Linked DNA regions of Callithrix jacchus. The protein of the gene in region 1 interacts with the protein of each later gene in a pairwise test. Links are inferred from orthologs where the notes say so. Each region holds a gene or a part of one and is shown in the gene's direction. Other genes may lie near its edges.

Region 1 (4,020 bases):
GGTGGACTCTGATACCTGGATTGCACATGAAAACTTGGTGCCTGCGTCTTGACTGCTGTTTTGTCTCATTTATTTTCTAGACAAACTGTGCTGCTTTACGGCAGTAGCATCAATCAATATGTCTTTTATTTTGTGGCGCTTCCTAGATATTTAAATTCAGACAGTATCATACAATACAATAAAGGTTTATTTACAGCACATTCGCTTCATTTGACGTTCCTGTACCGGATTACCTTGGCAATCGGCTAAAGATTTGTCAGCAACTTTGCTGCTGGGATTTTTCTCATTTGGTTCAGTTTACTACAGCCTATCATAAGTGATGCAGATGGATTTCTTTTGTAACATGTGAACGTGACAACTGTGTTGGTTTGGGTCCATCATTAATCAAAACTGAAGATTCGTAGGCTCGATGGTGTAGATTTTGACTTTTGTTTCTAGCTTTTGTGTGCTTTGTCATATTTCCCCTGCGACTCGTTTGCTTCCTAGACGGGGTGTGCTTCCTTATCTGATTTTGCATCACTGGAGAGAACTCAGGAAGCAGGAGAGGCTGGATGGGATCATTACAGGGAATGCAGTCTTGCCAACAGAGGGATGGATAGAATTACAGAGCAAACGGACACATCCCCGCCTGTTCTCCACAGGGCAGATTTTATCAGTATATTTCTAACATTGGGAACTCGTTTCCGCCTTCAAAAGTTTTTTCCTTTTTAGCGCAAACTAGACGTGCTCTGAGCCAAAATTAGCGTCCGCGAACCCCACCCCATTCGCCTCAAAAGGACCTCGCTCACCTTCCCGCCCACAAACAGCCACTACTACACTTCCCAGCAAGCACCGCGAAGTACCAGGCCCTCGGCGAAGGCCCCGCCCCACAAGGGGCATGCTGGGAGTTGTAGTGAGTGGGCGCTTCCCCACTACTCCTCCCTAGGCATTCCCACTTGGAAGACCGTGATGCGCTGCCAGAGCAGGTTCTCTAGTTTCGTACTCGTAGCTCAACGTGACAGAGGACTGCGCCTCAAGCCTGCGGCTGCGCATCGCGTCGGTCCCGCGGGCCTTTGCCCCGCCTCTTTCCACACCCGTTCCCTTGACAGCTGGGCTGCGCTTGGAGCCGCGGCGAGCCCTCAGCGCGCAGGCGCAGTAGCCCGGCGCCGCGTTAGGTAGGCCTGGAGGGCGGGACGAGCGCGAGGGGCTCTCGGTCGCCGGGGCGCGCACGTAGGCAACGCAGAGACCATCACGTGGGGCGCCGAAGATCGCAGTGCGCGTGGCCGTGGCGGCTGGTGTGGGGTTGAGTCAGTTGTGAGATCCGGAGCTGCTGACCCAGCGGGTGGCCCACCGTACCCGCGACACAGCGGCAGGCGTCAGGGCTCGGAAGCGGCGAGCCTGGCTCCGTCCTAGAGGTTGGCCGAGCGGGCACCACCGTCGTTCCCCGCCCCCAGCCAGCAAACCGTCGCCGCGGGCGCGCCCCCGCTCTGCGCTGTCTCTCCGATGGCGTCCGCCTCCGGGGCCATGGCGAAGCATGAGCAGATCTTGGTCCTCGACCCGCCCACAGACCTCAAATTCAAAGGTAGGCAGGATGGGGACACCCCCGGGCGGGATGGGGCACGCGGACGGCTGTCGGCGGCGGGGGGCGCGGAGAGCACGTCGGCGGCCGCGGCCCGAGGGAGCGCCCCCTCCCCCACGCCCGGGCGCCTGCCCTTTCCCGGCTGCTGCCTCGCCGCGGCCTCTGCCTGCCTGCCCGGCTCTCAGGCTGGCTTCTTTCCCTTTCGCCCGCCCGCGCTGCAGTGCGCGCGCCGGCCCAGGCGAGGCGGAGGGGAGCCGGGCCCTGGCGCCGCCGCCGCCATCTTGCGGTCCCGCGGGGGCGCCACCCGGGTGTTCGGTCCCGCCCGCGCCGCCGTCGGCCGGGGCCCAAGTCCTTGGCTCCTGAGGCCGACGGCGTGCTTCAGCGGGGCGTGGGTGGGTGGGCACCCGCGGGCGTGCGGTAGGGGCTGCGGCGGGGAGTGGGCTCTGGAGGTGGCGCAAGCTGCGTCCGTCTCCGGTTCCCGCTGTCAGTGGCGCGGGACCCCTCGGGAGTGAGAGCCGTCTCCCGACTCTGGCCCCGGCCCGGGGAGAGTTGGGTGCAGCCGGACTAGGGCTCCGCGGAGGGCGTCTCTCCTCACCTTTCCTCCCTGTTTAGAACTCGGCTGTCAGGTGTAGGGCGCGCTGGGGAGGCGGAGGAGCCCGGGAGGTGCCTGGCGAGGGCTGCCCGGTGCTCTTGGCACGGCCCCAAGCGCGTGCGGGCAGGAGCGATGCGTCAGCCGCGAAAGCAGAGTTGTAGGTTCATAGTAGCGGGGCTTCCTGCCTTCTACGACATTTCAGTGTGCCACCCGCGTGCTTGCTCTTATTTAGCCCTTCAGTTGAGCTCCTCTGCTGAGAAGCCTTCAGTACGTGTGACTTTTGCCTTTACGTTTGCGGTTTCCTACAGACCCTGAGAAGGCTAAGGTCAGCCAGCTCTGGAACTTTGTAGGTTTATTTTGTAGCACTGCCGGTGATAAGTTTTCAGTCTGACTTGGTGATACTGGAACAATCCCAGGGGCTGTTTGATCCGTTTGCTTGTCAATATAAGGTGTACTTTAGGAAAGAGAGTTAGAAACTGGACAGGTTTTTGTTTTTTTCTTGTACTTAAGGAATACTGAAAGAGTGTGAACATCTAATAGAAAGGTTCCTTCCTATCTTTAGTTAAGTGTAAAGTGAGTCCCCTTTTGGAAGTCAGTGTCTTGTAGTTCAGTTTGTTGAATGAGAACAATTTTTGTGAGGTGTATAGCAATTCTAGTGCTAAAAGAAACAGTGAAATCCTTTATTGTTGTGTAACGAGAAATCCCAACTACATTGTTTTCCACAGGAAAAACTTTAGTTTTAGGAATTTAAAATATATTCTGAAATTACGAGATTAATATTGGATAACTGCATTGCAAGTTTTTTAGTGCATTTACAAATTTCTTTTCTTTCTTTCTTTTTTTTTTTTTTTAAATAAAGACGGGGTTTCACCATGTTGGTTAGGCTGGTCTTGAACTCCCGACCTCAGGTGATCCGCCCGCCTTGGCCTCCAAAGTGCTTGGATTACAGGCGTGAGCCACCACGCCCGGCCTATTGAATAGAAAAGTGAGTGAGCTACTTGTTGGGTAAGGATTTGGTTTTAAGACAAGGTGCAGTGAATGTATTTTATTGCAAGTTAATGTATGTTGTGTGATTTTACATAGTTTTAGCTGGGGGAAAACCTTTGAGGAATCGTGAAATGTCCTAACTCAGCCATAATCTTGAGATAATTGAATGTAAACCTCTATGATGTGTGTGTGTGTGTGTGTGTGTGTGTGTATTTCGTTTTTATCTTTTGACTGGCTGTGTTTACAGTGAACGTTTCCTCTACTGGATAACTGTGTAAATTGCCGTTAGGTGCTTACAAGCCTTGACAACCAGTTTTAGGCCATGAAATGTCCACAGAGTTTGAAGGTTTCTCCTTGGGGAAGTTGTTACGTTGCTTTAGTAAGAGACTAGTAATAGTGGAGAAGCAGGTTTAAAAAAAAACAACCAAAAACCCTACACAGTGACTTACTCATATATTTCCTTCTTTGGGGGTATTGGAGAATTATAGCTATGATTATGGAACACATTGTTCTTGTGTTGCCAGTACAAATGATAAGACTAGTAAGGGAAAAAGAGAAAATGTACAAATGGTGTAAGAGAGACACAATCCTGTCTGAGGAAAGAAGCCCTTTCTCTACGTGCCCCATCCATCCCTCCCTTAGGAAGCCTTTAACGAAAAGGCTTGTTTTTCATTTCAGGGAAGGTTTAAGCCCAGAGAGTGGTTGAGTAAACAAACTGTTGTGAGAAAATGCCTGGTACTTAAATGCCCAATAGTTCATTGTGTGTTTCACTTTAAAGATACAGATAATGGGGAGGATTGGGAGGTGACATTTGGTGTTTGATTCCTTTTTAATATTGTTTTAGTCAAAGGCAAATTGTTTGCTTTGATGGAAACCTTCGTAT
Region 2 (4,124 bases), on another chromosome or scaffold:
CTGCATTCTCATTACAAGGTAGAGCTGAGTAGTTTAGACACACTTAAAATATAATCTGGATCTTTACAAAAAATGTTTGCCAACCCCTGCTCTAATGCCTCCACTAGCTCTGCATCTCACCTCACGCACAAATACCCTAGTCTACTAACTGCTTTCCCACTCTTTCCCCTGCCTCTAATCCTTCAGACACCTGGTTGCTATATAATCTCTCTACAAGAGTGTCGACCCTGTCACTTGCCCCGTCAATATCCACAGTGGCTCCTCCAAAACCGACAGTGAAAGGTTCAAACAGTCAAGACAAGAGACAAGGGCAAGAGAGAACACGTCAAAAGAGTTGAGTGCATGAGGCTTCAGGGGTCACTTTCACACTGGAATTTTTAAGATGTGACAGGTTAAAAAGACTTCCCAAGTACATAAAACAAAAGCTGAAAATAAGCATGAATGATAAATAGACCACCTCAACCTGTCCCCTTCCCTATGGCCGCAGAAATTATGATTCAAGGAATAATGAGACCCTTCGTCTAAATCCTTTAAAATTCCAAAAGAGCAGCGAGCCAGCGTGAGCAGCACGTAGACTGCCGATGTAAGAGGAGCCCGGTGCGGGCTCTGCGCTTTCTCTCCGTTCCTGAAAAACTCCAGCTCGTCGCCAAAACTTCTCGCCGTTTCCTGGTCTGCGCGCCCACGCTGCCGGTTTCCCGATAAGAGCGACGGCGCACTGGGGAAAAGCAGATGCCCCTCATCGGTTTGCGCCTTGCAGTTCAACTGTGCCCGAGCCTCCCACAAACCACCTGCCCGCGCCCTTCGCTAGGCGTCCAGCCAACGCGCACGTGAAGCTCCCGGGCGGGGCCCGCGCAAGAAAGCAAGAGTTTGCAGAGGCAAACTCAGCCCTGGGAAGGAAAGCGATTCTGGGGCGCACGCGCAGAGACAGGAGACTGGGCGGGGCGTACGTCCCGCAGGGGTTACAGAGAAGAGAGCGCGTGGCGCTCCAGAGCTTGCGCACGCGTTGTGGTCTCGCCCCGCCCATGAGCGTGCGCGCGCTGCCGTCGTAGCATCTTTTCTTCAGACCCGCCCCCTTCTTCTACTTCACCTAGGGGAGGCTAGGAGCGAGAGCAGGGAAGTGTGGGGCGGGTAGGCGGGGCGTCGCACAGGAGCGCGGCCTGCGACCGAAGGGAGGGGGCGGGAGAGATCCGAGACAACGTTACCCCGTCAACACCCAATCGGGATCCTGCCTGACCCCGCCCCCCTCTCCTCATGTTATTGGCTGAGAGGCTCCATGGTGGGCGGGGCCGGCCGTGGGGTTGGGGAGGGCAGGGGGCGGGGAGGAGGAGGAAGGCGCTGGCGGGCAGTGATGGCGGCGGGTGATGGGGACTTGAAGCTAGGCACCCTGGGGAGTGGCAGCGAGAGCAGCAGCGACGGCAGCAGCGAGAGCCCGGGCGGCGCGGGAGCGGCAGCGGAAGGGGGCGGCTGGGCGGCGGCGGCGTTGGCTCTTCTGACGGGGGGCGGGGAGATGCTGCTGAACGTGGCGCTGGTGGCGCTGGTGCTGCTGGGGGCCTACCGGCTGTGGGTGCGCTGGGGGCGGCGGGGTCTGGGGGCGGGGGCCGGGGCGGGCGAGGAGAGCCCCGCCGCCTCTCTGCCTCGCATGAAGAAGCGGGACTTCAGCTTGGAGCAGCTGCGCCAATACGATGGGTCCCGCAACCCGCGCATCCTGCTCGCGGTCAATGGGAAAGTCTTCGACGTGACCAAAGGCAGCAAGTTCTACGGCCCGGGTGAGGAGTTGGAAGGGGAGGGGAAGGACCCCCTGCAGCTCAAGCACGACCCCCTTCGGACGGGGAGGCCTCTGGGCACCGGGTTAGTTTGCCCAGCCTTCTCGTCGCCTGAACCCCCGCGCCTCGGCTGCCGCACCTGGGACGGCCCGGGCCGCCCCTACACACACACACACCTCCCCCGAGTTGCGTACACCTCCAGCTCTTGCCGCGAAACCAGGGGTCCCTGGTGGCGCCCCAGCGACCAGCTTTCATCTTTTTTCCATCCCATTTCTCCTCGCAGTCTTTTTTGTTGTTGTTGTTGTTTTTCTGGCTGGATTTTTTTAAATCCCTTTAGTTGTCACCAGTCAATGCTGTCCCTAAACCTTTCCTGAGTCTCCTGATTTCTGGGATGGGTGGGGCAGCAGGGAAGGGAGATTTCTGAAGTTGGGACCTAAACTAAAGTTTTAGGCTCTGTAATTCACAGCTTTTTTTCCTTTCTCTCTCTCTCTTTTTTTTTTTTTTTTTTTTTTTTTTTTTGCCACTGATCTCCTTTTTCCCTCTCTCTGTTACTCTCCGTAAGGCCACGTTTAGGGTCATGTAAAATCCCAACCCTCCAGTCTCTGAAGTCCGGGCGTATAAGCAACACCTCGGACTCTTTAAACCAGTTTTAGTTCGGAGATGCTTTCCATGATTAAAGAGGTATGTCAGATGAGGACAGACCAGAATGCAGACCTTATTATAAGACTGGTAAGGATATTCGCCCTGAGGTTTGGGGGTGGAGCTCTTATACCCAGAAGGCATGTCTCTGGTTTCTTTTTTTTCCTCTTTTCAAGTACACGTTGATAATGACTTGTGTTTTCACTTAGCAGAACTGGGAAGAAAAAGCTTAGAAGACCTATAGATTCATACCCACCATGTACTATGCAAGTTAAAGATTTTTAGAACTTTGTTTTCAGAGAACTGTGTGTAGGGTAGTTGATTTAGAAGGCCTTCTTTTACAGTGTGGTTGTAGCATACATTTTGGGTTATGCTAATAAACTCCAGACTCATGGAACCTGTTAGTATATCATGCAATTGAGCAACATACTAAGCAACATACAATAAGAATAAATAATTAAATTAGAGACCTAAAGTGACCTGTTATTGGAGAGAGTACATGCAAGCCTTAAAATCATAGGGTTGGCAGTCTGGAAATAAGCTGGTTTTCTCCTTCATTTAATCTGTGAGTTTATGAGATTTATTGACACATACGAATATGTACTTCTGGTTTCAGTGCTTCGTAGCTGGAAGATAGTTTAGAAGTGCTTTGGTTTGTAGTTTGTTCATTGGAATAGGGATAAGAAATAGGAGATTTTTGGTGTGAATTATGTAATTTATTTCATAGTTGTCTGTTTGTGTATATATATGTACATATACACACACACACATTCAATCCAACCAAGTAAATACATAGCTTACACAGTTTTTGCTTCTGATTATATAAATGTGAACACAAGATGCCTAGCTATTTATAGCAGCTGAAATGGTTAATACATTTTTGTTTACTTAAGCACACGTGGGACAAGAGACTAGGGCCAAAGTACAATATTTAAACAAGCCAAATTAAGTAAATTCTTTTTTAAATCAAGGATTTACACACCATTTTATACCTAGTGCAAGCTTCTTTCCCATTGGAAAATGAGTGTTGAGTGATTAGAAATCCTGTACAGGTTTAAATTTTTAATATAGACTTGAACCAGCTAAAAGATCAGCTTTTGTACCCTCTGTCTGAACTGCCACTGAAGAAAACAAAGCATATTAGTACAAAGAATCTTATTAGTCCTCACACATTATGCCTTGGCAGTATCTGAAAATAGCTAGGAGAGACAGTCATAGAAACAGTTTGGCAGTCTCCAGTGGCAAATGTTTGTTCTGTGATAGAAATTAAAAATTAAAGCCGGGCACAGTGGCTTATGCCTGTAATCCCAGCACTTTAGGAGGCCGAGGCAGGCGGATCACCAGAGGTCAGGAGTTCGAAACCAGCCTGGCCAACATGGGGAAACCCTGTCTCTACTGAAAATACAAAAGAATTAGCCAGGCCTGGTGGTGGGTGCCTGTAATCCCAGCTACTCAGAAGGCAAAGACAGGGAGAATTGCTTGAACCTGGGAGATGAGGGTTGCAGTGAGCCATGATTGCGCCATTGCACTCCAGCTTGGGCAACAGAGTGAGACGCCGTATCAAAAAAAAAAAAAAAATGTTTAAGAGTCATAGGTAGTAGATTGCTTTTGTATATGCATTGAGGGAGGCTCCTGAGATTACCATGGAGAAGTCAGTTTTAGATTAGTTTCTGCCAGTTACTGTTCTGATTAACAGCCTGAAAGTGATATCCAGTTATTCTA
Region 3 (3,500 bases), on another chromosome or scaffold:
CACATTAAATGAGTCTCTTGCCATTCATTTAAAAATTTTATAGCGAATGCTTATGATGTAAGGAGCTGAATACAAAACTATGAACAATCTCCTATCTCTTATGAAATATACATTGTTGGGGGGAGAAGGCAGACATTATGAAAATATATACACAAATGAGTATATAGTTACATATTGTGGTAAGCTCCTTGAAGGAAAATTATATGCCATGTAACGACATATTTGTCATGTAAAATTAAACGCCTCTTGTATTATCTCATTCTTTCTATTTCTACCATCATCACAGTTGTACTGACAATTACTTGGTCCCATAGGGATGAGTCAGAGCTGCTGCCTAACCAGTTTCTTTGTTCAAAGCTCACTCCTCTCATTTGTCATCAGATATTTTTCCTCCTTTATCAGTTTGTTTTCTAGCGCAATTATGCAACCATAGATGCCACTAAAATTCATCAGGAAACAAAAACAAAAATAAAACCCAGACCCGAAGGCTCACACCTGTAATCCCAGCACTTGGGGAGGCCAAGGCAGGAGGATTGTTTGAGCTCAGGAGTTTGAGACCAGCCTGGGCAATGCAGCAAGATCACATCTCAAAAAAGCTTTTTAAAAAGAGAGAAAACACAAAACAAAAATGAAGACATTTTATTGATTTTAAAATCCTGATCTATAAAATTTTCTTTGTATACGGACAGGTTCCCATATAATAATAATGCACAGAATACAGGCAGTCCTCTATTGACCACAGTTCAACTTACAATTTTTCAGCTTTAAGATGGTGTGAAAGTGACAGCATTCACGAAGTTTCTTGATTTATGGTAGGATTGTATCCCAATAAACTAATTGTAAATTGAAAATATGGTACGTTGAAATCGTATTTTGAGTTTTAAAGGTAAATTACATGGAAAAACTCAAGAGACTTTTTCTCTACATTTAAACATGAGTTCATCTACTAATGTGCAGAATTTTCTATTACAAAAATTTAAAAAATCCATATAAGGCCTCTTCTACAGATGGCTTTCATATAAGCTCACAAATCTAGGGTAGAACTTACTACCTCGTGCTGTATAAAAAACTGCCCCAAAACTCAGTGGATAGGAACAGTTATTATTTCTAATGATTTTGTGGCTTGTATGGGCTCAGCTGGGAGATTTTTCTACTGCTTTTGCTGGAGTCTTGCAGTCAGATGGCAGCTGGGCCAGAGTCATCTGGAGGCTCACCTCGGATGCTGGGGCAGCTGGATCTTTCTCCCACTCCGTACAGCCTCAGAGGGCTTGCATGCAGTTTTTTCAGCAAGGTGGCTGGGCTTTTTACACAGTGACTCAGAACTCCCAGGAGCACAAAAGGAGAAGCTGCCAGTGTTGTAGGACTTTCTCCTATATCACTGTTGTAGTTCAGCTAAAAGCTGGGTTCTCGTCATATGATCATGAAATACTAGGCTCGCAGACACTTTGGAGGGTAAGAAGGACAGGGTTTATTGGATGAAAAGGAAGAAAAAGGGAAACAGGAACTCTCAGCACAGTGCGAGTTCTGCTAGTAGGCTCCTTGCCCCTCACCCCCACACAGATGAGTCCTGGGTTCTCACCCCGGAAGAGGAGAGGCCAGGCTCTTCCCCGCTGCAAAGGGCGCGAACTTCCCACAGCTCTTGCCGGTTCTCCCGAGTATGCAGGTCAGCTGGAGGTTCTCCCGAGACCCCTTTACACTTGTGTGTCTCACCAGGAGGGCCATGTTGTGACTTTTATGGTCCCCAGGCACTTGTGCCTTTGTGGAACCTTTCATTTTATTAATGAAAGATTAAAAATAATATTTTATGGTTCAATTGGTGCAAAGATGAATATATTAATATTCTTTGAGAAGAGTCCTCTTTTTTATTCTATGCCTAAAAGAAGGCAATACATTACTATGGGTTACAAACACGAAGCAATATTGTGTTAAAGGACAAGTTGGCCTTGGCTGCCAGACCTTTTGTTGCATCCTATCAGTTAAATCAATGAACAGGCCAGGCCTCTGTGAAGGAACTACACACAGCGCACCTACCAGGAAGTAGGTTCACTGAGAGCCATCTTTGGAGATTAGCTATCACTTTTGATTAGAACACAGTTTCAAGAAAAGATACATCAACCTGTTTCCTTTAACTCATGACTGTGGAAATGGTAAGAGGAGAGCATATTTTCTGATGTAATTGAGAAGATGGATTTACCAGCTGTCCCCACTGGGCGATGAACTGAACTTATATTGGACAACAATAGTCTTTGTTCCCTAGAAATTTCACTAATGTCTGTTTTGTGCAGTTGTTTTGTTTCATTTAATTTTTTATATTTATTTATTTATTTTCAGGAAAGTCAGAAAAACCTCAGTAACCTGGGTGTTGGTCAGTCTGTGCATATCAATGTTGATTTTCAACCTCCTCTTTGTGTTTGGAATTGAAAACTCAAATAAGAACTTGAAGACAAGCGGTGACATCGAAAATATGGACTTTAATGATAATGTCATACCCCAGACAGACACCGTTAACACCCCGAATCCCACCTGCACTGCGATTGCTGCCTTACTGCACTATTTCCTGTTAGTGACATTTACCTGGAATGCACTCAGCGCTGCACAGCTCTATTTCCTTCTAATAAGGACCATGAAGCCTCTTCCTCGGCATTTCATTCTTTTTATCTCATTAATTGGATGGGGTAAGTGTTTGTATCTCCCCTTTCTCAGGAATTTAATTTTGCGGAAATCATTTAATTTAAACCAACACTTATAGAAGGTCTAATAGTCCAGGGCCTTGACGTAATTAAGAGGAGGTAGAAAAAAAAATGCAGTGATTGCTGAGAATACTTTCCATCTAGTAGCTTATACTCCAGTGAAGGAGGCAGATGGGATCAAGGCAAGAATACGAGATACAGCATAAACTGATGTAACTAACATGAAATTGTTAATTTCCTTATCTCTTTTTATTAATTTGATTTAAGATTTAGGCCACAAATGATTAACTTCCAGCTACTTTAAAGGAAATGTTTCCAGAAAGACAATCAGAGTGATCCTTTAAGCACAAATATGTGAAAAATTTGTTGCGTTCCAGCAAAGGAAGACTTGCTTTAGGTATATCTAAATTTAAATTTATTCAAGTGACAGGGAAACTATGCCACTAAAAGTGAAAATAGTGGTAAGAGTTACAAAGAAACCGGAAATAGGATTGATCTGTAGAGCCATCACTAAAAGGGAAAGGAAAACACTTGGAGGAAAATTATGTCCACTGTCGACCTACATATGTAGGATCACTGTGTTATGTCCGTAGTGAAAACAACATATATCCTGAAGAAGGTCTGATGTATAATTCATGTATGGTCTTTCATAATTAATCCACGTCTGGATAAAGTATTAATTCCATGCCTCTCTTTATCACATAGGAGTCCCGGCTGTAGTAGTGGCTATAACAGTGGGAGTTGTTTATTCTCAGAATGAAAAGAATCCACAATGGGAATTAGAATACCGGCAAGAGGAAATGTGAGTTT
Region 4 (4,124 bases), on another chromosome or scaffold:
CATTAGCAAAATAGCCTATGATTAATCGAGTTTACCTATGAGTTACCTGTTTCTAAGCTAAATGCCTAAAAATAATAGTGGAATTAAATATTCCTTTCAAGGTCTTCCCTCCATGCTTCCCAAGAGTGCAGTTCGCTTTTCAAGACCAACTGGGAATATGTATTTTCAATGTATATGGTTAAAAGATAGACACATGCACAAATATAGACACATACAGAAATGAGAATTACTTCAGAATTGGTGTTAACTTTACAAAAAAAGAACTTACTCTTTGAATTTACAAATTTCTTTATAAAATAGAAGCACTGGTGGACTTCTAATTTATAAACAAATTTGTAAATACAAAGAGTAAGTTCTTTTTTGATACCTCACTTCTAAAGTAAGGTATAAAATTCAAAAACGTATCCATGCTTCTCAAGGATTTTATTGTAGGCCACTCTAATTCCATATGCTATGTGGCTCTTCCTAGACTTTCTACACTAGCAAACAGACTGAATGCAAATTTTGTTTGGTGTTAACAACCTTCTTCTCAGAAGCATATGCTTATCGAGAAAGTCTGGGGTTAACAAGGATAAATAATTCCAAACAGGTCTATGAGATTTAAGATGTGAAAGATCAACATTATCTTTAGCTGATTTTACTGGATGCCACAAACTTCTGATTTCCGTAACCAGTTCTTGTTCCTCTTCTCCACTAAGACAAAATCAGAGGCAAACAGAACTTCACCCTAAGAGAAACTGGGGAAAGCGGGGAACAGGTTTTCTCCGCAAAAGTTTATTTGTTTCTCATTTCTTTTTCAGAAAATAGAGGATCGCTGTTGTTTCCAGCAGGTTGGTTGGGAAGAAAATTGGAAAAACATTATTACCGTTTCTTAGATGTTAGCAACAAGGACTGCAAAAGAAGATTGTGTGTCCCCTACTCTCAAATAGTCAAAATTGTCAGTAGGGATGAAAGAGCATTGGGGTTTCAGGGTTGTTAGGGTTTCATCAAGCCAATGTATTCCCTGCCAGATTATAAGGAGAAAAAAGAGCTGGAAAATAGAGTGATGTTAGCCCCCTTTCTTATTTTCACTGCTGCCAAAAACTAACTCTGTCTCTCTCCCCAGTCCTTCTCTCTCTCTCCCTCCCTTAGATGTGTTTGCACGGAAGAGTGTCCAGTGAGGAGACCGATTCCTTGGATCGCTTTGCGCAAAATCCACCCCTTTTCTCTCCTCCCTCCCCTCCAGCCTCCAAATCCCTCTTGGCCCACCCTCCCCTCCCGCAGCCGCCTGGGGTCGGGGATGAGCCTCCGTGAACTACTAAGGTGGGAGGGGGCTATAGGCAGAGGAGAATGTCAGATGCTCAGCTCGGTCCCCTCCGCCTGACGCTCCTCTCTGGCTCCGCCAGGACTGGCCTCTGTAAGAAATAGCAAGAGCTGTGGCAGCGGCGAAAGGAAGCAGCTGAGGCGCTTGGAACCCGAAAAGTCCTAGTGCTCCTGGCTACCTCGCACCGCAGTGCCCGGCCGACCGTCAGCACCATGGACAGCAGCGCAGTCCCCGCGAATGCCGGCAATTGCACTGATCCCTTGGCGCCCTCAACTTGCTCCCCAGCGCCCAGCCCTGGTTCCTGGGTCAACTTGTCCCACTTAGATGGCAACCTGTCCGACCCCTGCGGTCCGAACCGCACCGACCTGGGAGGGAGCGACAGCCCTTGCCCTCCGACTGGCAGCCCCTCCATGATCACGGCCATCACCATCATGGCCCTCTACTCCATCGTGTGCGTGGTGGGGCTCTTCGGAAACTTCCTGGTCATGTATGTGATTGTCAGGTAAGGAAGGGGCTCCAAGTGGAGGATTCAGAGGCTCATGGGGGTACAAAGAGACACCTGACCCCCAGGGCTCAATCTTGGGCGGGAGGATGAAAGAGGGGAGGTAAACCGGGGAAACTCTAGAGGCGACCATGGACAGTGATTGCTACTTCTGTATTTCCCCAATTGCTACAGAAATACTCCAAAATTTCAGAAGCAGAGAAGTTGCTTTGGTAAAAGCTACAAAGGTCTAGGGGTGGGGGTGAAGATAAGTGTAGACTTAGAGCTCTTCCTTATTCTGAGCAAAGAGGGCTCTTGTCAGAGTCCTACACTCAGTCCCTCTGCAGGAGCTATGGAAAGAGTAAGTTGTGAAAAATGACAGAGAAATTCTAGAAATTCTAGTTAGCTTTCCCAAATTTGGTTGAGGGGCGGGTTGGAGTGGGTGGTAGGTTGCAAGTCTTCTCAGTTGTTTTGAGATGAACCCTGGCAACTTTCCTACTTCTGCTGGTTCAGTACTTCCCTGTACCACAACCCCACCCTTCCTCCTCCCCTGCTGTAGCAGCCCTTAACTAACTCTTCCTTTCATCCTGAGGCAACACTAGATAAAGGAAGTTTTCCTGGCATCTCTCCATGGTAGTTTTGCTCTTTTATAACAAACATGACAGCTGTGTTGCTTAGATTAGTTTGCTGTTGGTAGCTTCAGATCGCCTAAGTCACAAACTGCATCTGGAATGGGTAGGATGGTTCAGGAGAACCGCAGGGCATGGCTGTATTTCAATGCCTCCACAAGTTGGAGTTAATTAGGAGTCACCAAAAGCACCATAATTCCACATTAGAAACTACAGAAACTCTCATACAGGAAGTTGTGATGGTGCTGTAAACAAAGTGTTCTTATCAGGTAAAATTAATTCAAAAGAATTGTGGTCCACTTTCTGTTTACCTAGATGTTCCACCTATATTTGGCAGAGTGTGCAAGCTCTCAATATTGATTGTGATTGATGCTGATTGTGTTGGTGTTTACCTGTATATTCAAATACTACATGTGAATGTGAAATGGCATGTATCTGTTTTTGTTAAAGAAGAATAATATTTTAACACTTTAAAATGGTTCCTAGATAGATGTTTTTTGTTTTTTGTTTTTAACCAGGGGTATGTGTATGTAGAGAACATGGCATTTTCACTTTTAGTTACAATATTTGTTTCACCTATTCAGCAAGTATTGCAGGTTTGAGAGGAGCTCTTAAATCATTTAACAATTGCTCTCCCTGGTATGCTTTTATTACCAAGATGCTGCAAATTGCTTGTAAGCAATTCTTTCCACTCATGTGTCTGATTTCTTTAATTAATGATTTTTAAAGAATAAAACTAATTTCTCTGATCTTTTCATGAGGAATAAGATAAGTATTGTCTCTGAGAAAAGAGCACCATCTATTGAGAGGAAGGCTAACAACAGAAGGAAAAATGTGAGAAGATAAATGGAAGAATTTATTTTTAAAAACATTTACTTTAAGTAATTAAATACAATGATTCACATTAAAGATTAAAAACCAAGTCTCACTCTGCAGTTATGATGACAAAGTTATAATTAAAGGCCTGCTTTGTGAAAAGAAAATATATTTCTCATTTGTTCTATAAGAATTTCATAGAATCATAAACTAATCAAGGTACAAGGGACTCTAGAAATTATGTGTGCTAAGTAAACTGAGGAACAGAACATGTAAATGATTTTCTCCAAGAACAGATAGTTCATTAATTCATTGCCATTGAATCTTTCCCAGCTAATGTAATTTTGAGTTTATTATGCTGGCAAATCATGATTTGAGTTAATTCAACTATTAGGTTGACAGAGTGGATTGATATAGCAATAATAACTTGGGAATAGCAAATGATCCCCAAATTCTGTATGGAATCCTGGAGGGAAAAAGCATGAAACAGAAATTACCAAAGCATCTAGGAATCCTGCCATCAGAAACATAATATTTTATTCCTTTTTATTGCTTCTCCTTGGTATTTTCCTTCCTCATTTTTCTCCTCATTAATTTATGCTTTCATATACAGAGAGAGCCAATAGACTGGCAACTGGCTGTGAAATGAGCAGATAGGTCTTCTTCCAGTATAGAAGAGATTTGGGTGAGTTAGTTTTAAAGGCATTACCTCTGGCCTCTTGTTGACTTGGAGAAAGATGGTGACAGTGCATCTTACTGAGAACATGATATTATGCTTTATTCTCAGTACTGAAAGTTCTTACAAAATACAGTACTATTTGAAAGGTCATCCCAGACACCCACCTGTGGCAGACTGGGTTTGAATTGCAGGGTCAGGTAATCCTCTCAGAATGTG
Region 5 (3,992 bases), on another chromosome or scaffold:
TTAGGGAAAAGTGCTGTTTGAACAGGGATCAGGAGAGAAGAAGGGAGCTACGCAGAGTTCTGAGGGGAAGGCATTCCATGAGGATAGCAAGAGGCAGGCCCTGGGAAGAAATAAGAATTTCTTATCTTTCTGAAAAGCTAAAGAACATCTCAAAGAAAGCGCTCACAATGTTTGGGATGTTAGGGACCTGCTGCTGATGTTTGCCTGTGTGTAGGCTCAGTGCTGTACATTTACCTCTGCTGCTTACATATTTTAGAATGAATTTTATGTAGGAGTCTAAGTCTACTACAAAGGTACTGCCTTATCTAAATGTCTCTAAAAATACCTCCTGCCTATCACAAAGGCATAGAATCTCGTTCACAAGAGTCAAAGTTGTTCATTCCACAAGGAGAGATAAGGCTGGACCAAAAGCATCCCTGGGTTTAAGTCCACACTCCCCACCCCACCCCAACCCCCACTCCCAAGCAGTGACAGATTGTCTTGAACAGGTGGCTGGGAGGATCCTAAAGGGCCAGAGAACAGAGCGGCAGAAGACATCTTCTGCGTTCTCAACTTTTAGCCCCAGCTGTTAGAGAACTGGCGTCTCCTCTACACATCCAGCTCTGGTGGAGACAGAAATGACAGCCCCTGTTTACAACGAGGAGACTGTGGCTCAGAGAAGTCAGGGGGCCACCCAGGACCCTGGAGAAAGCCGGCTCTGACTCGTAACTCTTGCTCCATTACCTGAGCCACGTCAGAGTCGTGTTCCACTTCAGGAAATGAGCTTGTTGATTTTTCATTTAAGCAAAAATGAAAATAAATACCAGATGTTTGAAACATTGCCACATGTCCTGCTGGAACTTTGAAGTGCATTCTGCACCTAAACAAATAAATAAATAAATAAATTAGAAAATCCACACAGCAAAAAAGAAATATTTTGAATGAAAACACACTTTGTCTCTCTCTCACACATACTCTCTCTCTTTCTCGAACACACACACACACGAAAACAATATCTCATTTCTTCTCCAGGGAGCAGCTGTGAAAGAAATTGGGGGAGGAGGATGGACACAACATCCCATCTTTGTGTTTGTTTTATACAGACTAAGCTTTTAGGCCAGCCCTCCTGGCTGTAGGGGGTGTGGCACCCATGAAAAGTAAACATCAAAGACCCAATGAAGCTTATAAAATAGCTTGGGAGAGGCCAGTCATCAAGACAGTCATCTCAAATTGGATGATTTTGCATGTGGATACTGCCTTCATCTTGACAGAAAAGGTACGTACTGTGGTTTTAACCGTTTCAATTATGATAATGCCTAAAATAGAAACTTCCATAGGCCCTTTTCAGCTGCATATAATTGCCACTGATTGAGAGCTTGTGTTGGTAGCTTTAGACTTGTTCTCATTTTTCCTCCAACCAATGTCCAAGGCAGGTATCATTAGAGCCATTTTTCAGATGATAAAACTGAGGTTCAGATACACTAAGTAACAGGCCTATGATAAAAACGTGGGTACGGTGGCTCACGCCTGTAATCCCAGTACTTTGGGAGGCTGAGGCGGGCAGATCACAAAGTCAGGAGATCAAGACCATCCTGGCTAACGTGGTGAAACCCCGTCTCTACTAAAAATACAAAGCAAACCTTGTTGGACAGCAAGGAATTTTTCCATGCACAAACACTGTGCTAAGTGAATTCTCAGTGAGTTGTCCAACTGTGCATCACAGTAGAATAATCTGGAAACTGGAATTAATTGTGTGACTAGAAAATGCATTTAACAATATGGCATACGATACTGCGTTTGGGAGATACGTTTCTTGTTCTGTTTAATGGCTAAATGAGTCTTTGAGACCTAATTACTTATTGGAACATATTTTATTTTATGAGGTGAAATTTCAAAATCTAGTCCTTCATGTTCTGCAGACCTTTGAGATCAGGGGCTCTGTCCACATGGGCACTGAGAACATGGGCTCTTGGGGGACCTAGACTTACGCTCCGGCTTGGAAGTTTATCAGGAAGTAACCAGGACAAATTGATCTCATTGGTACAAAGAGTGTCAGCAGAGGTCACTTGCGTAAGGTTAGCCGAGAGAAAGGAGAGTAGACCCGATATCAGGCCAGCAAGTTTTATAACCCTGCCAGGCTGTTACGTAACAATCAGAAGAGGCAGCCCCAAGCCCACAAAACAAGGGGTTTGTATGGGGTGAGAGGGGCATAAGGGAGTTTCAGGACCAAGGTAATTTATCAGCTTGTAACAAACGCAAAGATAGTTTTTTAGCTTGTGACACACTTATAATACACCGTCCTGTGATTTTTGTGGCAGCAATTTTTTAAAAAAACAGGATTTTACAGGTATGTGTAAAACAGGAATTTAAACAAAGGTTTGTTTTCCACGACCTCCTCCACTCACTCCGCGCTGCCCAAGTGGCTGTAATCAGGCTTTGCTCAATCTCAATCGTAGTATGTCTGGCAGCCTTGCTGTGGCACCAGATAGGAATGCAGCTGCTGAGCAATCAGAGTGGGAGGTCAGCTGTGTGGAGGGGGTTTTCAGGGGCAGCTTGTCCCTACCAGCTTCCAGAGGAGGTGCTGTGGAGACTGAGTGCATAGCACACTTAAAGTCCTGAGGCCAGGACCTCAGGTGATCCACCCAGTACATGCAGAGCAGTGATTTACAGTTAGTGCCAGGCCCAAGGTGGATGCACTGTAACCTTAGTAGGATTGCTTTGAAATTACCTCATATTCAGTTAATAATTATATATATTTATTTTGTTTTATTTTTGAGACGGAGTCTTGCTCTGTCACCCAGGCTAGAATACAGCGGCACGATCTCAGCTCACTGCAACCTCTGCCTCCCAAGTTCAAACCATTCTCGTCCCTCAGCCTCCTGAGAGGCTGGGATTACAGGCCCACACCACCACGCTGGGCTGATTTTTGTATTTTTTGTTTGTTTGTTTTTGATTTGTTTTTTGAGACAGAGTTTTGCTCTGTTGCCCAGGCTAGAGTGCAATGGTGTGATCTCGGCTCACTGTGACCTCCGCCTCCGGGGTTCAAGTGATTCTCCTGTTTCAGCCTCCTGAGTAGCTGGGATTACAGGCGTCCACCACCATGCCCAGATAATTTTTTGTATTTTTAGTAGAGATTGGGTTTCGCCATGTTGGCCGGGCTAGTCTCGAACTCTTGACCTCAGGTGATCCACCCAGCTCGGCCTCCCAAAGTGCTAGGATTACAGATATGAGCCATTGTTCCAGGCATAATTTTTGTATTTTTAATAGAGACAGGGTTTTACCATGTTGGCCCAGCTGGTCTCAAACTCCTGACCTCAAGTGATCCACCCGTCTTGGCTTCCCAAAGTGCTGGGATTACAGGCGTAAGTTGTGCCCGGCCAAAAATAATATTTAGCCTGGCGTGGTGGCTTATGCCTGTAATCCCAGCACTTTGGGAGGCTGAGGCAGGTGGATCACGAGGTCAGGAAATGGAAACCATCCTGGCTAGCATGACGAAACCCTGTCTCTACTAAAAATACAAAAAAATAGCTGGGTATGGTGGCACATGACTGTAGTCCCAGCTACTCGGGAGGCTGAGACAGGAGAATCCCTTGAACCCGGGAGGTGGAGGTTGCAGTGAGCTGAGATCACGCCACTGCACTCCAGCCTGGGCAACAGAGCGAGACTCCTTCTCAAACATAGTAATAATAATAATATTTAAATACGCTTGTTTTGTAAAGTATTTAAACTCCTAATTAGAGCAATCTCCCTATTGATAGCAGAATAAGATGCAAAAATATATATCATATAGAATCCATATGTTCCCCAAAGTCTTAAGTGCACATTAATAACATGCTCAATAAGTAATGAGTAAGTTAAAATGAGAGGGCATTGAAAAATGTAATGGATGCCGTCCACCCTTCTCTCACAAGGAGTTTTAACCACAGGAATAAAACTACTGCAACGAAGAGGCTTCTTTGGAAGACAGGCAATCAAGGGGGTTTGTTCTGAAATCCTCCTACAGAGGTAAAGAA
Region 6 (4,029 bases), on another chromosome or scaffold:
GTTTCTGTCCACATGGGGAGAGTCTCTGTAAACCGTGTCAATCTGAGGCCAGGATTTTGAAGCTCAAGGCCCCACCCAGCTTAGGAAGCTATTCCTGGTCATGCATCAGCCTCTCGGCTAGACCCAAAAAGGGCTACCCGGTAAGCTGAGAAAGAAGAGATGGCACAACCTGGCACAACCTGGAGGGATGTAGGGGCCAGAGCCTTGGGGATCCCTGCAGGGCAGCCAGGCACACAGGACCCTGGGAGGGCGCTCAGTTCCAGGCTTTCTGTGTTCTCTGCCATATCTAAGCACTCACGAGCCTCCTAATTATCCCCCGTAAATCAACCTATTTGTTCTTTTTTACTCACACCCTTATTTTGCAAATTAAATAAGTGTGTTCAAATTAAATAAAAATCATTATCACCTGCTGTTAATAGAGGCAAAACCAAACACAGTACCCTGAAAACAGAACGACCAAGTCCAACGAGATTCCTTGTCCTCTTCAGGCCATTCTCTCTTGGTTTCGGAGGACACTCTGTGGGCAGTACAGACACTGACCCCAAATGCAGCTTTGCTCTGGACCCAGTTCCGGGTATGGAAAGAGAATTGAGAAGGAAGTGATGTTCTCATGAAGGGGTCAGAGTCGGGAAAGGCCAGGCCTGGGAAACACCAATAATCTTCCCACGGTTTGGGGGAGGCCATGGATTTTGTGGCTAAAACACTCCCCAAGAGGTGGACTCCAGAGGCCCTGGACGGGTTCCCTGGGATGTCCCTAAACAGTCCTAGTCTCCCCAGATCCCAGGATGAGGACCTACTCACTGCCCTGCTGGTGACAGACTTGCCCTGTGGGAGCCCGGGAGAGCCAGGCAGCCTGCAGCTCTGGTCTCCTCCCCTGCCCTGGGATGCCCTTTCCCAGCAGCCCAGAGCAGGCAGGTCCCCACCCCCAGCCCCTGCTGCCCACCCCCTCCCAACTCAGACACCTTGAGCTGCTACTCCACAGAGGCCTCAATCCACCACCCAGAGCCTTCTCTCCTTGCCCCCCTACCAGGGTACTTCTGGCTCCCAAAGGAAGAAACCCCTGAAACCTGAGCAGAAGCTGTCCTCGGTGCCACGCCTGGAGACGGTCATTAATAGCAGCCTCCCTCAGGCCCCTGATTCGTCTGGACAGCTGCTCAGCATGTCCAGCGTCCCTCAGCCCCAAGCCCAGCCCACTCTGGCTCAGCCAGGCCACACTAAACTTAGTGGCCACTCCCAGCTTGACAGCCACTGCCACCCCCCAGCTCGGCTGTCACCTGCCCTAGGAGACACAGCCGCCGGACCCTGCCCAGGGCACCCACGCCTCGGCGACCACCATGTCCCAGACCAAAACGCTGAAGGTCCGTGTGACCCTCTTCTGCATCCTGGCGGGCATCGTGCTGGCCACAACAGCCGTGGTAACCGACCACTGGGCTGTGCTGAGCCCCCACCTGGAGCACCACAACACCACCTGCGAGGCGGCCCACTTCGGCCTCTGGCGGATCTGTACCAAGCGCATCCCCATGGACGACAGCAAGATGTGCGGGCCCATCACCCTGCCCGGGGGTAATGTACCCAGCATCCCTCCCAATCCCCACTTCCTGCCCTTTCCCATCTTTCCCCAACAAAGTTACCCACACGAAGCAAGGCAGGTTTCTCTGCCTAGAACAGGGCAGCCGCCCAGCCCTTTCTGCCCAGGGAAGAAGATCCGACTCGCATGTGCTGTGCTGGTGGCCGGAGCTGGGTTGTAAGACGAGGGCGTTTGTCCCAGCTATTTCTGTCTGGCTGGACCTTGGGGCTTTTTGTCCAGAGCAGACATCTGAGCAGGCTCAAGAAAGGGACTGTGGCTCTACCAGCCCGGGGGCTTCTGGGCCCCACCTGATCACTCCCTCCCTGCCAAGACAGGCTGAGTGGCTCTGTGTGCTCAGACTCGTGGAACCTATCAGGCTGGCAGGTTCGTTCCTGGACTTAAGGCAGGAGAGTAGACTGGACAGGTGAATTTGCAGGGTCCTGTGCTGAATGAAAGTGCAGGGTTCCCTGCTCCAAATTACCGAGGATTTCAAGGCAGTGACAGCGAGGCATGAAACCAAGCATGGACCCTTGAGGGCCCTGGGCCTAGGGCAGCTGCACAGGTTGAATGTCTATGAAGCAGGACATGGCTGTGGGTGAGCCGCCTGCCCCCTACCTTTTCTTGAGACAGAGTTGCACTCTGTTCCCTGTGCTGGAGTACGATGGTGCAATCTCGGCTCACTGCAACTTCTGCCTCCTGGGATCAAGCTAGTCTCCTGCCTCAGCTTCCCCAGTAGCTGGGATTGCAGGCATGCGCCACCATACCCATCTAACTTTTGTATTTTTAGTAGAGACGGGGTTTTGCCATGTTGGCCAGGCTGGTCTTGAACTCCTGACTGCAAGCAATCCGCCCACCTCGGCCTCCCACAGTGCTGGGATTAGGCATGAGCCGCCGTGCCCAGCCTCCACCCCCACTTTTGTCAGGACTTCAGTCCTCTGTGCCTCCTCTCTTAGCTCAGACCCTATCAGCATTTTAAAAGACCATGTCAAAGCATTTTCCTCATCCTGTCATTTAAGCATATTCCTCAATTTCCTACCATGTGACCAAACCACATGTCGAAGGTAAGCTCTTTTTCAGGAGTACCTGGTATTTGTGTGGCTAACCTCTATTCTGCAAATGCAGAGGCCTCTGGATTCTTAGCAAATACAGCACTTCTTTAGAGGAAAGAGGGCTACATGGAGACCAGGCGGCCAGGAATCATCACCATTGCCTACCACGCTCCAAATGACTCTCCAGGGAGGACAAAGCTCAACTCAGCCTCAGCTTCTTCCTCTATAAAATATGGGACTGACTCTCAACAACATAAGATCCCTTCCCAGGCTGAGGGACACCCATCCATGGTGGCAGTGGAGCAGGGTGATGTCAGTGTGATGTCCCACCTGGCTTTCAGGATTATTCCGTCTTTTATCAGACTGGATGTTCCTTGAAACCTGTCCTTCAAGGACACTAAGGCTGAGTCCCCAAAGATCTTGCAGTCTGTTTGTGGGTCAGAGAGCCCAGACCCCATCCTCCCATGTCTCTGCTCCCTCTTCCTTCCCTCCTGCTTGCTCCAGAGATCCCCTCCCTTGCTTACCCCAACTGGGTGCCCAGAAGACTCGTAAGTACCCAGCTGTTGTAGAAACACCAAGTCCCAGTGCTTGAGGGTGACAGGTGTGAGCATGTGCTGGCAGGGTATTGCATAGCTGGGATGCCCATGTCCCTTGACCACTGCGAAGCACACCCATAAACAGGCACAGCCTCCAGCCTACTCCCCTGGGTGGGGCAGGGCAGGGCAGGGCGAGGTAGCTTCTACAGGGACCACACATGGGGACGTGCTGTTACAGTCCTGTTCACCCATCTCTGGAACCATCTGACTTTTAAAGTCAGAGAAGAGGGCTGGGCAGTGAACAGAGTCCACACAAGGAAGAGACAGGCTGGTGAGAGGTGACTGGACCAATCACAGGGGGTGACAGGCTGGGGAGACGTTAGTGGACCAATCACAGGGGGCAACAGGCTGGCAAGAGGCGATTGGACCAATCACAAGGGACCAACAGGCTAGTTAGAGGTGAGTGGACCAATCATAGGGGGCCAACAGGCTGGTGAGAGATGACTGGACCAATCACAGGGGGGCAGCATGCTGGTGAGAGGTGACTGGACCAATCGCAGTCACTGGAACCAATGCTAGTCACTGGAACCAATGCTAGTCACTGGAGCCAACAGGCATTGCTTGAGCTTGAGCCTGACCAGGATCTACCTCTTTGACTTCTTAGCCTAACCAGCCATGAACCATACCTCCCACGCTTGTGACACGGAGCACTACCTTTCCCCCAGTAATCTTCCAAAGTATGTTCCTGCCTTTTTCCCTCTCTTTTCTGTGCAAATGGACATCTTTCTCTTTCCCTATCTGCCCTTCTTGTGTTCCCTGGGACCACTCTTCTCTAGAGGGAGGAAGTGAGTTCATATGTGGCTTCTCAATTAACAAC
Region 7 (4,022 bases), on another chromosome or scaffold:
ATGGGGGAACTGAGTCTGTTGGGAGAGACTGGACTGTTTCCCTCCAGCCTCAGTCTTCCTGTACCCCTCCACATATTTATGTTTCTGTTCCTAGCTATGTGGAAAGGCGAAGGTCAGTGCATGAGAAGAATGGGAAAAAGATATGTACCCTGCCCAGCCCACCTTCCCCCTTGGCTTCCTTGGCCCCGGTTGCTGATTCCTCCACAAGGGTAGACTCTCCCAGCCATGGCCTTGTGACCAGCTCCCTCTGCGTCCCTTCTCCAGCCCGGCTGTCCCAAACCCCCCAGTCACAACCTCCCCAGCCTGGTACTTACAAGGTAAGAAGGGGAGGCTGGGTTTCCTCTGATAATTTGTTCTCTTTCATTGTCTGTTTCAGCTGCTCTGTCTGAATATTTCACCCTCCACATTCTCTGTCTCGCTTTTTCCCACCTACGTTTTATCCTCTAAATCCTCCTGTCTGTTTCTTTTCCCCTGTACTCCATATCTCTCTGACTCTGTCTCTCACTTCCCTGCAGACGAGTGTGGCCACACAGTGTGATCCAGAGGAGATCATCGTGCTTTCAGACTCTGATTAGCTGCCTCCCCTTCTCCCTGCCTCCAAAATGTTTTGGGATAGCATTTGGAGGATGGTGGGAAGCAGATGACTGAGCAAAGGATGGACTGAGCTAATCCCCTGTTGGTGTTTCTTTTAAAAAAAAAAAACTTAAGTTTTACACAGAAACATTAATAAACAATAAACTTCTTTTCTTATTGTATCACTGTCTTTTCCTTCTGTGGTCATGGATTGGCATTAGCTGTCCCTTTCCTTGCTCATGGTTTGCCCGATGTTCCCGGGGTAGTCCTGATCTGTCCTTTCTAACCTGGTCTTTTTTTTTCTTTCTTTTTTTGTGTCTCATCTTATCACCCAGGCCAGAGTGCAGTGGTGTGATCACAGCTCACTGCAGCCTGGACTTCCCGGTCTCAAGTGATAATGCCTCAGCCTCCCCAGTAGCTGGGACTACAGGCACGCGCCACCACACTTTGCTAATTTTTGTCGTTTGTAGTTTTTGTAGATACGGGGTTTCGCCATGTTTTTCAGGCTGTACTTTTTTTTTTTAAAGTGCTTCAGCCGCCTTAACGCACTTTACTTTTTCAGTTCTTGCAGTTGGAGTGAAAAAGCCAATGAGAGACCGACTCAAGGTTATTCGGCCAATCCAGGCCCGGAGACGGGGGGCGGGGCTTCAGGGGAAATGTCAGGAGCTAGGAAGGAGGCGATTAGATCTCACCAACCAGCTAATGGTCACAGCTCAGAGGCGGAGCCTGGGGAACGGTGCCTGGACCCGTCGCCAATGGGAAAAGGCAGGCTTGTAGCTTTAAAGGGGAATAAATGCTTCGGCCGAACCAAGTCCTGAGTTCCCAGCGGAGGAGGGGACCTGATCCTTTAAGGTGGAATGAGGCGACGGTTCTTTAAAGGCAAAGTGGCCGAGTCGGCCGAGTATTGCCCAGCGGCGCGGGCGGGGTGCCCGGCTGTGCCTTTAAAGTCGGAGGGGCGGGAGGCGGAGCGGAGGCGGAGGGCGGAGGGAGTCGGCGCAAGATGGCGGCGGGAGGGGCTCAGGCTGCAGCTCTGGCCGCCGAGTGAGGGGCGGGGGGGGCCCGGGGGCGCGCGGCCCGGTAAGCGGGGACGCGCGAGGTTGGGGGGCGCCTTCCGGGTGGGAGAAGAGGCCGAGGTAGCGCCTGGGGCGGAGCGGGGGGGGGGGGCGGGGTCCGGTGTGGGCGGAGGTTAGACAAGGGGCGGGGTCGAAAGGCCCGAAAGTGGGCGGGGCACGGGGCGAGCCTGGAAAGGGGCGGGGCTAGGTAGGAGCTGGGGCGAAAGGGGGCGTGGTCGGCGAGAGAGCTGGGGGGCATAGCCTGAGGGGGAGATTGAACAGAGGGTTGGTTTTCAGTAGAGGAGCTGCCCTGCCCCCTCCCAAAAAATGGGTACAAACGCCAAAAAGGTAGATTTTGGAATGTCAGGCGCTCAGGTAAATGGGAAATAGGGTATAATTCCGAAGAAGGCACACCAGCCCCTAAGAGCGCCTTCTTTCTCTATAATCTCCAAGGAAAGGGCTCAGGATTTGTCAGATACTTGTGTTTGCTAGCGCCGCCACTTACTGACTGTGTGACCTTGAATAATCTCTTAATCTTTCTGAGCCTTAGTTTCCTCCTCTGTTAAATGGGGTTGAGAGTAATACCACACGGTTGTGGGGAATTACGCAGATAATGAGTGTAAACTGGCTGTGTCATTATGAGATTTATCATTATTATTTTCTCTCTTTCTTCCCAGAGACCCCCCCGGCCGCCCTCCTCCTTCCTTTGTACCTGTGGCTGGGGGGGTATCCCCTCCCTCCACAACATGGAGCCATCTCCTCTGTCTCCCAGTGGGGCAGCACTCCCCCTGCCGCTGTCGCTGGCTCCACCCCCACTACCCCTGCCAGCAGCTGCAGTGGTACATGTGTCCTTCCCTGAGGTGACCAGTGCCCTCCTGGAGTCCCTCAATCAGCAGCGTCTTCAGGGCCAGCTCTGTGATGTGTCTATCCGAGTACAGGGCCGGGAGTTCCGGGCTCATCGGGCTGTGCTGGCTGCCTCCTCCCCTTACTTCCATGATCAGGTCCTACTCAAGGGCATGACCTCCATCTCGCTGCCCAGTGTCATGGACCCAGGCGCCTTCGAGACTGTCCTAGCTTCCGCTTACACTGGCCGCCTTAGCATGGCTGCTGCTGACATTGTCAACTTCCTCACGGTGGGGTCTGTGCTCCAAATGTGGCACATTGTGGACAAGTGCACTGAACTACTCCGAGAAGGCCGGGCTTCAGCTACCACCACCGTCACTACTGCTGCAGCCACCTCTGTCACTGTCCCTGGTGCTGGGGTCCCATCCGGGAGTGGGGGCACTGTGGTCCCTTCTACCATGGGCTCTGTGCGCTCCCATGCCTCCAGCCGAGCCAGTGAGAATCAGTCTCCCAGCAGCAGCAACTACTTCAGCCCCAGGGAGTCCACTGATTTCTCATCTTCCTCCCAAGAGGCATTTGCAGCTTCTGCAGTGGGCAGTGGGGAGCGTCGAGGAGGTGGCCCTGTATTCCCAGCCCCTGTCGTTGGCAGTGGGGGCGCCACCTCTGGGAAGCTGCTGCTGGAGGCAGATGAACTGTGCGATGACGGTGGGGATGGAAGGGGGGCAGTGGTCCCTGGGACTGGGCTCAGGAGACCCACCTACACACCCCCTAGCATCATGCCACAGAAACACTGGGTATATGTGAAGCGAGGTGGTAATTGCCCAGCACCAGCACCCCTGGTTCCCCAAGACCCAGATCTGGAGGAGGAAGAAGAGGAGGAAGACCTGGTGTTGACCTGTGAGGATGATGAAGATGAAGAGCTAGGGGGTAGCTCCAGGGTTCCAGCTGGGGGAGGGCCTGAGGCTACCCTCAGCATAAGTGATGTCCGTACCCTGAGTGAGCCCCCAGACAAGGGGGAGGAGCAGGTCAACTTCTGTGAGTCCTCCAATGACTTTGGCCCCTATGAGGGTGGGGGTCCTGGAGCAGGTCTTGATGACTCAGGGGGGCCAACTCCCTCTTCCTATGCCCCCTCCCACGCTCCTCGACCGCTCCTTCCCTTGGACATGCAGGGCAACCAGATCCTGGTCTTCCCATCGTCTTCATCCTCCTCACAGGCTCCTGGCCAACCACCAGGGAACCAAGTAGAACACGGGGCAGTGACCCTGGGGGGCACGTCCGTGGGAGGCCTGGGGGTCCCTGGTAGCGCTGGTGGGGTTCCTGGAGGGACTGGTAGTGGGGATGGGAATAAGATCTTTCTGTGCCATTGTGGGAAGGCCTTCTCCCACAAGAGCATGCGGGACCGGCACGTGAACATGCACCTCAATCTGCGGCCCTTTGACTGCCCCGTGTGCAACAAAAAGTTCAAGATGAAGCACCATCTGACTGAGCACATGAAGACGCACACAGGTCTCAAGCCCTATGAGTGCGGTGTCTGCGCCAAGAAGTTCATGTGGC

What was found.
Region 2: the proteins of VAPA (region 1) and PGRMC2 interact in binary tests that used the Homo sapiens proteins (3 or more experiments, as listed by UniProt). The link is inferred for Callithrix jacchus from reciprocal best matches to the Homo sapiens genes VAPA and PGRMC2.
Region 3: the proteins of VAPA (region 1) and ADGRG7 interact in binary tests that used the Homo sapiens proteins (3 or more experiments, as listed by UniProt). The two-hybrid records come from large-scale screens. The link is inferred for Callithrix jacchus from reciprocal best matches to the Homo sapiens genes VAPA and ADGRG7.
Region 4: the proteins of VAPA (region 1) and OPRM1 interact in binary tests that used the Homo sapiens proteins (3 or more experiments, as listed by UniProt). The link is inferred for Callithrix jacchus from reciprocal best matches to the Homo sapiens genes VAPA and OPRM1.
Region 5: the proteins of VAPA (region 1) and APOD interact in binary tests that used the Homo sapiens proteins (3 or more experiments, as listed by UniProt). The two-hybrid records come from large-scale screens. The link is inferred for Callithrix jacchus from reciprocal best matches to the Homo sapiens genes VAPA and APOD.
Region 6: the proteins of VAPA (region 1) and CACNG1 interact in binary tests that used the Homo sapiens proteins (3 or more experiments, as listed by UniProt). The two-hybrid records come from large-scale screens. The link is inferred for Callithrix jacchus from reciprocal best matches to the Homo sapiens genes VAPA and CACNG1.
Region 7: the proteins of VAPA (region 1) and ZBTB22 interact in binary tests that used the Homo sapiens proteins (3 or more experiments, as listed by UniProt). The two-hybrid records come from large-scale screens. The link is inferred for Callithrix jacchus from reciprocal best matches to the Homo sapiens genes VAPA and ZBTB22.

What each region holds. Positions count from the first base shown.
Region 1 is NC_133514.1:53,009,310-53,013,329, reverse strand, and holds the start of VAPA (vesicle-associated membrane protein-associated protein A), read left to right. Parts: upstream 1-1,220; 5' UTR 1,221-1,482; coding exon 1,483-1,561; intron 1,562-2,153; exon of another isoform or gene 2,154-2,425; intron 2,426-4,020. UniProt on the Homo sapiens protein: Endoplasmic reticulum (ER)-anchored protein that mediates the formation of contact sites between the ER and endosomes via interaction with FFAT motif-containing proteins such as STARD3 or WDR44.
Region 2 is NC_133504.1:69,042,121-69,046,244, forward strand, and holds the start of PGRMC2 (membrane-associated progesterone receptor component 2), read left to right. Parts: upstream 1-1,324; 5' UTR 1,325-1,348; coding exon 1,349-1,766; intron 1,767-4,124. UniProt on the Homo sapiens protein: Required for the maintenance of uterine histoarchitecture and normal female reproductive lifespan. May serve as a universal non-classical progesterone receptor in the uterus.
Region 3 is NC_133516.1:91,826,522-91,830,021, forward strand, and holds part of ADGRG7 (adhesion G-protein coupled receptor G7), read left to right. Parts: intron 1-2,331; coding exon 2,332-2,675; intron 2,676-3,395; coding exon 3,396-3,492; intron 3,493-3,500. UniProt on the Homo sapiens protein: Orphan receptor.
Region 4 is NC_133505.1:160,798,259-160,802,382, forward strand, and holds the start of OPRM1 (mu-type opioid receptor), read left to right. Parts: upstream 1-1,324; 5' UTR 1,325-1,515; coding exon 1,516-1,805; intron 1,806-4,124. UniProt on the Homo sapiens protein: Receptor for endogenous opioids such as beta-endorphin and endomorphin. Receptor for natural and synthetic opioids including morphine, heroin, DAMGO, fentanyl, etorphine, buprenorphin and methadone.
Region 5 is NC_133516.1:24,485,241-24,489,232, reverse strand, and holds the start of APOD (apolipoprotein D), read left to right. Parts: upstream 1-1,192; 5' UTR 1,193-1,213; coding exon 1,214-1,267; intron 1,268-3,992. UniProt on the Homo sapiens protein: APOD occurs in the macromolecular complex with lecithin-cholesterol acyltransferase. It is probably involved in the transport and binding of bilin. Appears to be able to transport a variety of ligands in a number of different contexts.
Region 6 is NC_133506.1:122,263,121-122,267,149, reverse strand, and holds the start of CACNG1 (voltage-dependent calcium channel gamma-1 subunit), read left to right. Parts: upstream 1-1,229; 5' UTR 1,230-1,334; coding exon 1,335-1,563; intron 1,564-4,029. UniProt on the Homo sapiens protein: Regulatory subunit of the voltage-gated calcium channel that gives rise to L-type calcium currents in skeletal muscle. Regulates channel inactivation kinetics.
Region 7 is NC_133505.1:41,558,128-41,562,149, reverse strand, and holds the start of ZBTB22 (zinc finger and BTB domain-containing protein 22), read left to right. Parts: upstream 1-1,222; 5' UTR 1,223-1,425; intron 1,426-1,555; exon of another isoform or gene 1,556-1,650; intron 1,651-2,302; 5' UTR 2,303-2,371; coding exon 2,372-4,022. Other genes in the region: DAXX (death domain-associated protein 6), read left to right, coding at 95-317, 516-575. UniProt on the Homo sapiens protein: May be involved in transcriptional regulation.